2 linked regions of the Tribolium castaneum genome follow. The protein of the gene in region 1 purifies or fractionates together with the protein of each later gene. This does not show direct contact. Links are inferred from orthologs where the notes say so. Each region holds a gene or a part of one and is shown on either strand. Other genes may lie near its edges.

The links. Proteins that work in one complex are often made in the same cells at the same time.
Region 2: the proteins of san (region 1) and Naa15-16 purify together in Drosophila melanogaster (affinity purification with mass spectrometry, with the first as the bait; 3 studies listed by BioGRID). This does not show direct contact. The link is inferred for Tribolium castaneum from reciprocal best matches to the Drosophila melanogaster genes san and Naa15-16.

Annotation. Positions count from the first base shown.
Region 1 is NC_087402.1:194,695-200,675, forward strand, and holds san (probable N-acetyltransferase san), read right to left. Parts: upstream 2,552-5,981; 5' UTR 2,401-2,551; coding exon 2,393-2,400; intron 2,343-2,392; coding exon 2,019-2,342; intron 1,974-2,018; coding exon 1,808-1,973; 3' UTR 1,717-1,807; downstream 1-1,716. Other genes in the region: E3 ubiquitin-protein ligase TRIM33, read left to right, coding at 1-169, 3,063-3,429, 3,477-3,687, 3,737-3,997, 4,218-4,328, 4,382-4,689, 4,896-5,177, 5,822-5,967; Mulk (acylglycerol kinase, mitochondrial), read right to left, coding at 1-143, 189-298; derriere protein, read left to right, coding at 457-657, 707-1,084, 1,131-1,302, 1,392-1,711. UniProt on the Drosophila melanogaster protein: N-alpha-acetyltransferase that acetylates the N-terminus of proteins that retain their initiating methionine. Has a broad substrate specificity: able to acetylate the initiator methionine of most peptides.
Region 2 is NC_087402.1:6,527,625-6,534,075, reverse strand, and holds the end of Naa15-16 (N-alpha-acetyltransferase 16, NatA auxiliary subunit), read right to left. Parts: intron 4,847-6,451; coding exon 4,653-4,846; intron 4,601-4,652; coding exon 4,492-4,600; intron 4,442-4,491; coding exon 4,098-4,441; intron 2,325-4,097; coding exon 2,124-2,324; 3' UTR 1,549-2,123; downstream 1-1,548. Other genes in the region: mitogen-activated protein kinase kinase kinase 11, read left to right, coding at 1-45.

The DNA of each region.
Region 1 (5,981 bases):
TCTCAAATTCATCACCAGCTTTACGCTTATTGGCATTGGGGTTGAGAATTACCGTAACGTTACGGGGGTCAGCCTCCACACGAATTGGTTCAAGACCAAATCTTGCCGCCTTTTCGCAATAAACACGCATCAATTCTTGGGTCCTAACATAAAATTTGAGGGGGCTAATGTGAGGTTATGTCACTCACTCGAAACGTTCCTTGGCGTATTCAAAGCCGTACAGTAGGGCCACGGCTGCAAACGTTGACTTCTTCCAATGATTGCGTAAAGTTTTTGCCGTTTTTAGTACAAAAGTCATGTTTTGTTTAAATTTATTAGCATAACCTCAAATTTGACTAATGGAATGGTTCAAGGACAAGACGGCGCGTAATTTGAAAATTGCCGTAAATTAGAGAATTTGCAATTTCCTGGATTGTTAGGCGTCGTAATTGGTAAATTATTTAGTTTGTGTGAAAAATGCGGTTGATAACTGTGGTCTTGTTCCTTGTTTTAGCCCAAATCGAAGCCAAAACGTATTATTTTAATTTGAATAAAACTACAAATGAGTTCATGGTTCGGAATCGTGTCAATTTTAATCAAACGAATTATCCCGCAATTCAAATAAGTGAACTCAGGAATAATAGGAACGTCACACGTAAAACTGCCACAAATACGAATGTAATAATAATGTTGTAGTACTAGTAAATTAGAAAAAAAATTGTTTTAGGGCACTAAACCCTACATTCACCCACTTTTAGACTCCGAATGGAACTACAATTGGACCAACATCACCCGAAATAAACTACCATCATACATTTACAAATATTACGAAGCATATTCGCAAAATGTGGCAGCTCCTGTTCACATTCTCTTCAACGCAAATCCGCTAAATTCAACCATAATCAAATTTAATTCGAGTAAATTGGACGTTGCGGAGGTTGAGTTACATTTCTACCACAAAGTTGAGGCCAATTTGACACAAAAATCGCTAATTTTGCGCCTTTATCAAGTCGAAAATGATATCAATGAAACGGCTTTGATAAATCCAGATTCACACAAACTGCTCAATGTGATTTACATTTATCAAGCTGAAAGTGGCTGGCAGGTAACAATTATATTGAATTTTCATTCAACACTTAAATCATCGCCAGGTGTTTAAATTAACCAAATCGTTGCATAATTGGATAAAAAAAACAACGGATTTGTCGATATTTATCACAATTTCGAAACCAAACGACGAACAATTTAATCTTTTTAACGACAGTAATAGAAACGCGTTTAGGACTTTTCTTATATTAAAATCAGAATCGCCGAGAAGTGATGGTAAGTTATTTTTTCTAAGTTACATAATTTAGGCACAAAACACTTGGCTCCATATTTTCGCCCAACCCTGTATGTTTATTGTATTGTAGGAACAAATGATGAAATTACCGAAAGTAACGCTTGCAGAAGACATGATTTATACGTCGACTTCCAAAAACTCAACTGGATGAAATTTATTATATCACCAGCTGGTTATAACGCCTACAATTGCCACGGCACGTGTTATCAAACCCACCACTTACCAAACCATCACAAAACCACAAATTTCTTTCCTGAACTGGGGCGTAAAAGTCCCTGTTGTGGCCCCACAAAATACGCTCCTCTCCCTATAATGTTTTACGATAGATTTGGCAATGTTATGATCAAGTTTTACGACGAAATGGTAATTTCGGCATGTGGTTGCAGATAAACAGATTTAACGCAAACGATGACTTTATTAAACAATTATACAATGTGTTTGAAATTAAAAAATACTGTAACAAAAAAATCAATCATGCAATGTGTTTTACTCAGCGTTTCCGTTGCTTTGTCCTTTTTTCCTCAGAGTTTTTTGTAAAACGTGAGCGTCTGCCGGTTCTATTCTTTTGTAGTAATGTTCTTTAGTTTCGACGATTTCGAAACCGAATTTTTTGTAGAAATCAATCGCTCCTTCGTTGTTTACTTGCACGTGGCTAAAAGAACGTGTTATTGGGTTTAATATAAAAAAAAACTCTTACAGGAATATGCTATCAAAATTGCCATCCTGTTCCACGTAATATAAGACATGTTGGACCATTAATGTACCTATTCCAAGTCTACGGTAAGGGTACAAACAGCCTAAAGTCATGATGTACAAACGACGAGATTTTTCCGACGTATCAATTCGACAACACACAGCACCAACCACTATATCATTGTAATAGGCTAATTTAGCCAATTCACCCGCCTCTAACACATCTTTGTAGAATTTATCGTTATAAGAGACGGGAAAAACCACGCTGTTTAAGCGCTTTAGTTGTTTAATATTATGTGGGGTTACGTTACCTAATTCGATATTAGCTCTGAAACACACACGTGTAGCTGCTAAGTTAATACTAATTACATCACTCACCTTGTCATTTTATCGCCAAATTCTCACAAAATAACCACGAATTTAACCACAAAATTGCGCTTTTTGAAAGAAACGTCAAAAATGATGGTCGATGGAAGTGGCGATGGTGGTGGAAGTGTCTAACATACCGACGCAACGCGCACCCCCCCCAATTTTTAAATAAATACTTAATTTCATAAAAAATTAAACCCCGACCCGTATTTTAAAACGGGCAAACAAAGTGAAATTAAATTTAAATACGATAATGACGGTGCCGTGCCTTTGAAGTTACAAAGCGCCAAAAAAGACCGCCAACCTTGACGAGAAAAATTACCCGAATTGATGCAAATTTTGGCAAATCTGGGCCAAATTTTGTGGAGATTTGCCCCAAATCTAAATATTTCTGTGTTTTTATTAAGATAATGTAAGTTTTGTCGTGAAATTTCGTGTTGAAGTTAGGGTCGTGGTTTTTGTAAGGTTGGTGATAGTCGTAGTGAAGTTTGAGAGGTTGATGTGTTTTCTGGAAAAGCGTCCCCAAAATATTGGAAAAAAAAAGTAAATAAAAGTGTAAATAATGCAAAAAACGGGTGAAGACGATGTTAGTAAATGGTAGCCAAACGGCCCTAATCAAGGTGGTGATTAAAATTTCAAAGGCGCTCCCCCAACATCATCAATTTTTCATTTTTAATTGGTTCTAATATTGTCCACGATGGCTGAATCAAATATTTATTACAACGAGGGCAATTATATGAATCAGCAAGACGCTACCACCAAGGATGTGATTGATTCAGTTCAGAATCTGAATGAGCAGAGTGAAATGATTTGTGATGATTCTGTAACAGAAACAGTGGAAGAATCGAAGGATGAAGTTAAAGAAGTTGCTGAAGGCACTGAAGAACATGTAGAGAGTCCAACAACTGGGGAAACTTCTTACACCTTCAAGTGTGTCTTTTGTGAGCAGGTATTGAGTGGTAGTGACGAACCCAAATTATTGGAGTGTTTGCATAATGCTTGTGGTAACTGCATTGGTAACAAGCTTTACGAAGAGTTGGAGAAAAGTACGCCAATAAATCGTAATAATCAATAAGTCAATATTTTATTTCAGCTACTGTTGAATGTCCACAGTGCAATATAGTATGTGAGCCAAGTAAAATAATCGAAAATCAGTTTTTGCTAGAGCTAGCAAGTAACGAAGACAACTCGACCAAATTAGCAGAGTTGAAATGTAGCAGTTGTAGTGATGATGCAATTGCTACAAGTTGGTGTGTTGATTGTTCAGAGTACATTTGTGATAGTTGTGTACAAGCACATCAAAGGTATTTTATTCATTCAAATCAATTGATTTTTAATTTTTAATTACTCTAGACTAAAAATAACTAAAGACCATACCATTAAACCGAAAGAAGAGGGACTTACTGACAGCCAATCATCTACAAATAATTCTGCACCTAATCTATTTTGTCAGATTCATCCACAGGAGAAATTGTCACTATTTTGCGAAACGTGCGATAAATTAACTTGTCGCGATTGCCAACTTATTGAACATAGGGAACACAAGTATAAATTTACCAATGAAATTGCGTCAGAGACAAGAAAATTTATTGCTGATATGTTGAAGGATGTTGGGTACGTATAAAAAAATTAGGTAATTTTTTTGGGCAAAAAATCACGATAAATAAATAATGTCACAATTATTATTATTATGTGAAATTTCTCAGAGTGAGAAAATTGCGAGTTATTTGAGTTAATTTTGTTAACATTTGAGTAAACCCATTTTTTTTCAAATCGTCAAAGAAAAAAATATGAGAGAATGGGTATTAATTAATTTTCGCAATATATTTTTCAGTTACAAGAGGGCACTATTATGTAGTGCGATGAAGGTAATAGACGATCGTCAAAATTTGATTGTTGACAAAAAACAAGCACTTGTTAAGGAAATCACACAATTAGTGGTCAAGTAATTGATTATTACAATTTATAGATTAAATGTATAATTAATTTTTTTGGAAGGTTGACAAATACGATTAATGTTAGAGGCAAACAATTAGTTTCGAAATTAACCGAAGTGTGTGATAGTAAACAAAAGACGTTACAAGAGAAAAAACAAGCTTTAGAGCAACTTTCACGTATGACAGATCACTGTATAGAGTTCACACAACATGCTTTAGATAACGGCAGTGATATGGCTCTATTATACAGTAAAAAACAAGTCACCGATCACTTACGTCGAATCAAATGTAAACGAGCCGATATTCCAAATCCAGAAATACCGGTACGAATTCATCTGGCTTTGGATAAATTTCCAGATCTTGTTAAAGGTAAGTGTTTGTCTTGACTCAAATGCTTGGACTAAATTTTTGCTTAATTTTTTGTGCTTTCATTGGTAGGTTTATCAACAGGTAATTTGTTTTGGTTTATTTATTTATTTTTTATATTAAAGTAGGTTGTGGAAGTCATTAATGTCATTTAGATCAAATTTCAGTCACAGACGACTTTAATTATTTGAAATCATGGTACTTTTCAGTCATGTCAACAATCGGTCAAATTGTGGTTGATGGTAGAATTTACCCTTCACAGTCCGTCTCACCCTCATCTCAATTACCTCCACATGGTTCTCCCAGTCCTGGTCATTCCAGACCACCCCAACAACAATCACCCATCAATCAATTGCTCCAACAATCACCTCCTTACCAACAACAACCATCAGGGTTCCAACAATCACCCAGATTACCCCCAGCATATGGACAGTTTAACAATGGGCCGCAGTATCCACAAAATCAAAATATTAGCCCACAATCCAATATGGGTAAGTCTGCGTTAATTTTTATCGCAAAGGTTCTAACTGAATTTTTTACAATTTTTCGATCACCTAAAATATTTATCATAAAATATAACAAGCATAATGATAAACAAATAACTACACTAGATACTAATATTTTTTTAAGTAAACGGTTCAACCATTAAGGGAAATAATAGGAAGCTATCTACACATGGTTATGGTTTTAAAAATACTTTTCTGTCAATAAATGTTACACAGTTTTAAAGTTACAAAGTTTATTTTTAATAAGAAATGGTTTTATACAGATTTTCATAAAGTTATTTTAATCGTCGTTATTTTATAACTAACCAAAAATTATTCTAATTGTGAAAAAACAGTTTGCTTTTCTTTGGTAGTTTCAATCTAAAATCATTTGACTACATTTCATTAGACTTTCTTCCTTCAACTTTTTTTAGACAATCTATAAATGAAGGAGGAAGAAACGCCCACTTTTTGCTTGTGTGAATATTTCATTGTAACACGCTGTATATTTTTATTCTTTGACTAAAAATTGATTAACTAGTGCTCCAACAAGGATTAATTTCCACATAATTTTAATAAAAAATGCAGTTAGATCTTTATGGTTCTGAGGTCGCGTTCGTTATGTTGGAAATATAATTTTTATTAAATAGGAGCAAGAGTAATGGGTCCACCAATGGCACAACAGATTTCATTAGCCCAACAATTATCAGCCAATCGTATGCAAATGCCACGGCAAATGGCGAGACCTTTACTACCTCGAATGCCACCAAATTCTGGCGGTTTAAACCAACAGCAGGTAAATTTAATCAA
Region 2 (6,451 bases), about 6.3 Mb from region 1:
AGGAGGTCGCGGCAGAAGCAGGCGGATAAGGAGTTTTGGTCATAACCTTTGTGGCTTACGTAATTTTCAGACTTGTTTAAGGGTTGAATCGGTTACAATTGAAATTATTGTTAGCAATATTGAGTATTTAATACTAGCCAATAAAGTGATTTGTGTGATGTTGGGCGGGAAGGGGGCGCCAACACTTCGAAGCTTGCGATAAATAAGAAATCGCTTTCAAGTTTAACATGCGTAGCCAGTCCATTCTGTTTAAAAGAAAAAAAAAACTGAAAAAATACACAAGATTAAAGTTCGAAAGCTGTCGTTATGCAACGAGCGCATGCGAGTTTCGTACCTAGACACCCGAAAACTTAAGCGTATAAGTGTTATTAAATTTTTGTTTGTTGGACATTTTAATTTAAAACACGTTGCTATCAGCAACATGTTTTAAAATATATAATCTACGATGCAGATATTAAAAAGGATTAAAATGTTACCAACAAAAAATATGTTTTTTTGTTAAATCTTCCTTATCTTTAAATGTACTTAAAATGTTATTCCGACCTGATTTATCAAGCCTCGGGCGTGAGCGCCCCGCCCCCCTACAATAATGTATTCCTAGTCTAATTTGTGTATATTTATTATATTTTGTATTTAATTCGGCAAGTGTTAACTCTGTACGATGCGTATTTGGCTGTAAATTTTATTGTATGTGTTATACGTATGGTTGTTTGCGAGACTAACAGACTTCACTCGTGTGTGGTCTGCTGGCCTCAATCCTGCTCAATCACTGAATTTGAATTATCGGTGAAGACTCATAATGATATATCAACATTTCACAATCCATAGTGCCTGATTATGCAGCTTAGACGTACAAGTGATAAGAACATTATTAGTCATTTTGGTGCAATTTATTTAAAATGTTTTTTGTTGATAGAAGGAAACTCATTGCTGCTGCCTTAATAATAATGAATAGAATGTGAATTTATCAGTTTTATACCCCGAGGTGGTGGAAATTGACAGTTTTTTGACTTTTGAAAAAGACTGGCTTAAACATTCCGATGTATATCATCACATTTTGGCTCTGCTTAGTCATACGCCTGTTGATAATTGTAAATGAAATGACCAACTTTATTAATTTGTATAAATAATAACAAGATTTTTATTAATTAACGTACTCAGTTCTTAATGTTAGTAAGGGAAAAAGTATTATAATGTATTATATTCGTGCGGAACTTCCTCGTAACGATTGTCATATTGAGTTAAAGGGAAGGTTCGCACTATTCAAGTACATGTGGCCATTGTATTTTTAACAATTACGAGGTTCAGTATTGGATAAAGTGTACATAAACTATACATATTGTAGTTTTAGCTGATAACACGTGGCTTCCACATTGTGAAAATCATGTTATATTTATTGAAGAAATGAAGACCTTTGTATCATACATTCCAAATTTCTTTTCGTGAGAAATTATTACTCAATACTCATTTGTGTGAATTGTAAACGACTCAATAGAATTTATAAAACTAATGTCTTTTCTTGAGCAAAGATTAATAAATCACTACAAGTATTAAGTATTTTTTTATTAACCAAAATTTACAATAATTATAAATTATGGTATTGAAACGGCTTCAATACGAGTAATGGGTATCTACAAACTTAATGTTGTGAATATGATTATTATGTCTAAAACTGGAATCACACAATTATTATTTTGATTGTGAAGAATCATCATCGGTGGACATGTCAGTGCGACTCCAGACCATTCATTAATTTCACTATGAAACACACAAGTAAAAAACCCAACGGTACAAACGGTTCTAGTCTTGTCACCAATACAGTCATTAAATCGAATTACAACGTACCGCAAGGTGAGTAAAAAACTGTCAAAAATAAAATTCAATTCCGAAATAATTCACAACAATTCCAAGCGAAAATATACAAAGAGAAAGCAAAGAGATGTAAATAAAACATAATAAAACAATTAGTTACCAGTCCTGAGGTACGACATACCACAAAAATCAACAACCTATGCGACAATTTCATTAAAACACTTTTTAACCGGATGATACAGTCAGCACTTGCACACTAAGACACCGGTTAATTCCCTGCAAAGTTGTAGGCGCAGATTGAACGGCGGTCATCAGTTGCTGTTGCAGTTGTCTTGGTCTTGGGACACGTGATTGCTCTCGCTGGGGGACGCCGACGCCGGTTTAAAATCGGCGGCGAACGGAAAACGGTTATGGCATTTCTTTATGTAATCCTCTAATTGAGCGTCGCAACTTCCGAAGTCGCCTCGTCGCAAAGCCTCCGCCACATTCACGCAGTTCTGAAAAGGCAACAACTTTTTTCCATCCTAAGATTACATAAATAAAGCAATCCGGCCAGTAATTAAACGGTGAAAACGAAATTTAAGTATTTAACAGTTTCGGATTGTTTTATTTCTTTTCAAAATACTTTAACTAAAAAACAAAATAATTGGATAAGTGTACGACAAGAAATGTTACAAGGTTTAAAATAATTAAGAAAACAGTGACTACATAACAGATAAGGTACGTTAAACAAAAAATAAGAGGAAAATAAAAATCCATTCTCAACCCAAACCATATTTTTTATATAAAACATGCAGTCTTCTTCAGATTAAGCATCTTCTTTACAATAGAAAATTTCCCAAAAGAAGGCGAAAAACCACGCAAGTGTTGTCTTTTTCCAATAATTTTGTACATTTAAAAAACTTTTTTTCTTGTAATTTCCCTCAAACAGACCGAACAAAGGCAAATTTAGATTGCTTTTGCTTTTTTTTTGATCGTTCTAGTATGTTTTTCAGCCAAAAACGTTCTTTTTGGCATAAATTTCTTAGATGAAACAGTCATTACCTACCTTTTTCGATAGATTTTTGAGCGTTCCTAGTACTCTTTCAGTCAAAAACGTTCGTTTTAGCATAAATTCCTTAGAAGCGGCCAATGATGAAAGACATTACCTTTTTCGGTGAATTTATTTTTATTATTTTGAGAAAAAAAAATCAAAATAGATCAAAATGGACGTTCTTTTGACCCATTTATGAACAAAAAAACTTTTTTAATTCGCGAAATTTCGTTAAAATAGCTCATAAAATGTCTTAATTGCCTTACTTTGAGCTAAAAAACTCGTGCTTTAACAATATCCATCTAATAAGGCGAAAAACTTCCCATGAAGGTCAAAAATGATGCTATTTGATCTGTTACGCTAGATTTAGTGCGTTTGGAAGTGTTTTTCTTTTGCGGAATTGTGTTAAAAATGCCGAACAAACACGTAATTATTATTTTTGTCTTTTTAAAATGCTTGAACACATTTTTCAAGTAAAAAAGCTCTCTCGTCGAAGTTTTTTCAAATCCACAATCCACCGCAAGTTCACCAATGGAAGAGTGAACATTACACTATTTTTGCCCTTTTTCCAGGATTTTTGGCACATTTTTATTGTCAAAAACAATTATTTCAGATATTTTTTTAGAATAGACCTTAAATAAGGACTTACCTTGTATTGCAAACTCACTTATTGCATAAAATTTCGTCAAAACATTTCAAATTAGAAAAGAATCAACGTACTTTTGGTTGGTTTAGGATGATTTGTCAGCCAGACACTCATTTTTTTTGGCAAAATTCCGTAAAACAGGCCCAAAAGTTTCTTAACAACGTCGAAAATTAAAACATATTTTGCGCAAGGACGAAGCTTGAATCAACTTTAGGACGAAATTAAAAACAAGGTTGAAATAAAGAATGGTTTAAAAGTTCAATTCCAAAGAATTTAAACTAAACTGGAGGTTTCATATACGTAAATTATTACTATATTCAATTAATGAAATCTGCCCTAAGTTCTGACACCGCTTGTTTGCTGTTCAAATTGGATTGCAGATTGTAAAAAGTATTTGTAAAGAAATTAAATAAATAAATTAAGAAAATTAAAGAAATTAAAAAAAAATAAATCAAGGAAATTGTTATAGAACATAAACACCCTTCAAAAATAACCACATTCGTTTGAATTTTTCAGTAATTATCAAAAGAAATTAGTCGGTTAAAGTTGCAATTTGGCTTTTACCGAGTAATTTTTTTAGCTAATCGTTTCGTTGAATTGTCTTACTTGTAGGGTGACATCCTCGTATTTATTGTCTAGATTGGTGACCAGACTGAGAGCAGTGCTTTGTGTCTTGTTGTCGAGATAGAACATCATTCGACAGCATTCGAGTACGGCTTCTAAACTATGCGAGTGCGCCTCTAGGAATTCTTTATTGAGCTGTTTGGCGTCTTTTCCTTTAAACAAAATTTGCACTTCTTTGGTCACCACTTGTTCAACGGCCGGATCCCACGAGTTTTTATTTTGTTCGATCACTTCGTAAAATCTGATCAGGCAACTGTGTAGCTTTGGATTCTGCGGTGCGATTTGATGAGCCCTTTTCAAGGACTGCAACATCAACAGAACTTTTTCTAAAACAACAACAACTCAATAAAACTGTAGCCATCACACACCCACTCACTTTTCCGATAATAAACCTCAAACGCCATTAAATGGGTTTCTATTCGATTTTTTGCTAATTTTTGAAGGGGTTGGAGGAACTTGATGGCTTGTTCGAGCGGATCTTCGACCTGAAATTACCCACAAACAACAAATTTATAGTTAATTACCTTGGTTTTTTACCCGTGCCAGCTTATCGGGGATTAGTTCGTCTAACTGAGGTGCATCCGCTTCTACATCCCCTTGCTGGCGTGATTTATGGTGGTGGTCACGTTTCACTTGCGCTTCTCTTGCTTGAGCACTCTCTTGTTCCGCCTTCCTGCGAGCTTTTCGCTGCTTGTTCCGCAATTTCTTCAATTCGGAAGGTGCCAAATTTTCTAAAAAATAACCAAATTGCTAGCAACCTTGCGACACTTAATTACTAACGATTGTTTCAAACCGGCGGCACTTCCCTCTTTCACGACACGACCTAACAATAGTTAGTTCGAAGGTTAAAATGTAATAATTATCAAAGGAATTTGACACCCCGGGCTTTCCTACTATATGCGGGGGAGAATTTTATTGTTATTTTAAAACGAAACTTGTTCAATAAAACTCTTAATCAAGTTAAGTAAAGCCCATTAAAGTTGGGTTCACTCTTCACCTACACCGTAGGCACCTACAGCCACTTTGCCCAAATAAGGGAAGCGTTATGTCATCGCAGTTTTCGTAGGTAGATTATTATTTAAATTGTTTATTGTAGCCCAGAGGGATGCTTCCGCTTTCGTTCTTGACGAAAGTTTCCCTTGTCAAGAAATCAAATCGTTTGACTGACAGGTGGCTATTGTAAACTAAAGCGTTTCCATTATGTTACTTAACGAATTGTTACAACATTAAAGAAGTGATGTGTGTGTGTGCTATTACTTCGCCAAAACAAGAATTTTAAAGCTATTTTGTTTCTTGTTTAAATGCAATTTGGCATTGTTTTCTTGCCGAAACCGGCATATCAACTCCCACAACACCGATAACAACAAACTTTCCTTGATCCAGTTCTTTAAGGACATTTTTATTAGTCATTATTAATTCAATTAGCACAAGCGTATAAAAAAGAAAAATAAATTTGATTTATCTTTACGCAAGTTCGTGTTTTGTTTCAATTAGTAAAATTCTTGAGTCAATTGTAAGGTGTAGTTAAATGATTTCCTGAGGGGCTTAGTAGTTTGTTTCAAATTAAAATGTGTTAGCAAAAAATTTATTCTCCGGAGGAAATGGTTTAATGTGGACAACTTTTTTCCAATCCTAAGATAATGTTTCATCAGTCATGAATATGCGTTGTTTTAATTTTAATTGGGTTGTTACAGATACATAGCTAATCAAATTTTATTGATTTATGACGCCAGTTTTTTGTTCAACTCATTTTTATACCGTTTTTCTTTGTAAAAGTTTATTAACACTTCAGAAAACTTGAAAACTTTTCTCTTATAAGAAAACTTCAAAAAGTGTTTTGCTATTTGATTTAATCAGTTTACTTGAAATTAAAATTGAAGAAAAACTAAATAAAATTCTTCTTTCGAACGCAACTCAATGTTTAAAATTACAGATGTCTAAAACTGCTTACCAAACAGAAAACGACAAAAGTTTTACAAAATCACTCATTCCATTTTAACGGACGGGACACTGCACACATTTTTAGATTTTCTCAATTTTTATAAACAGTATCAGTAGAAGAGAATTCTTCTTTATAGGAATTTAGTACCAGTCAAACTGTTTGCAATCTACATTTGGAGCCACATTTGTAAAATTTCAAATACGAGCAAGAAATAGAAATACAAATTGATGGCGGACGGGACACAAAAAAAATTAAATAAATTCTTTTAATTTAAAAGGCAATAATTCCAATAATTACTTTTGAAGTAAAAAATGGAACTTGTTAAAACCACAAAACCGACAAAGCAATGAGTAACGACTTCTGATTAATTTACTTTTTGTTTATACATGACGGA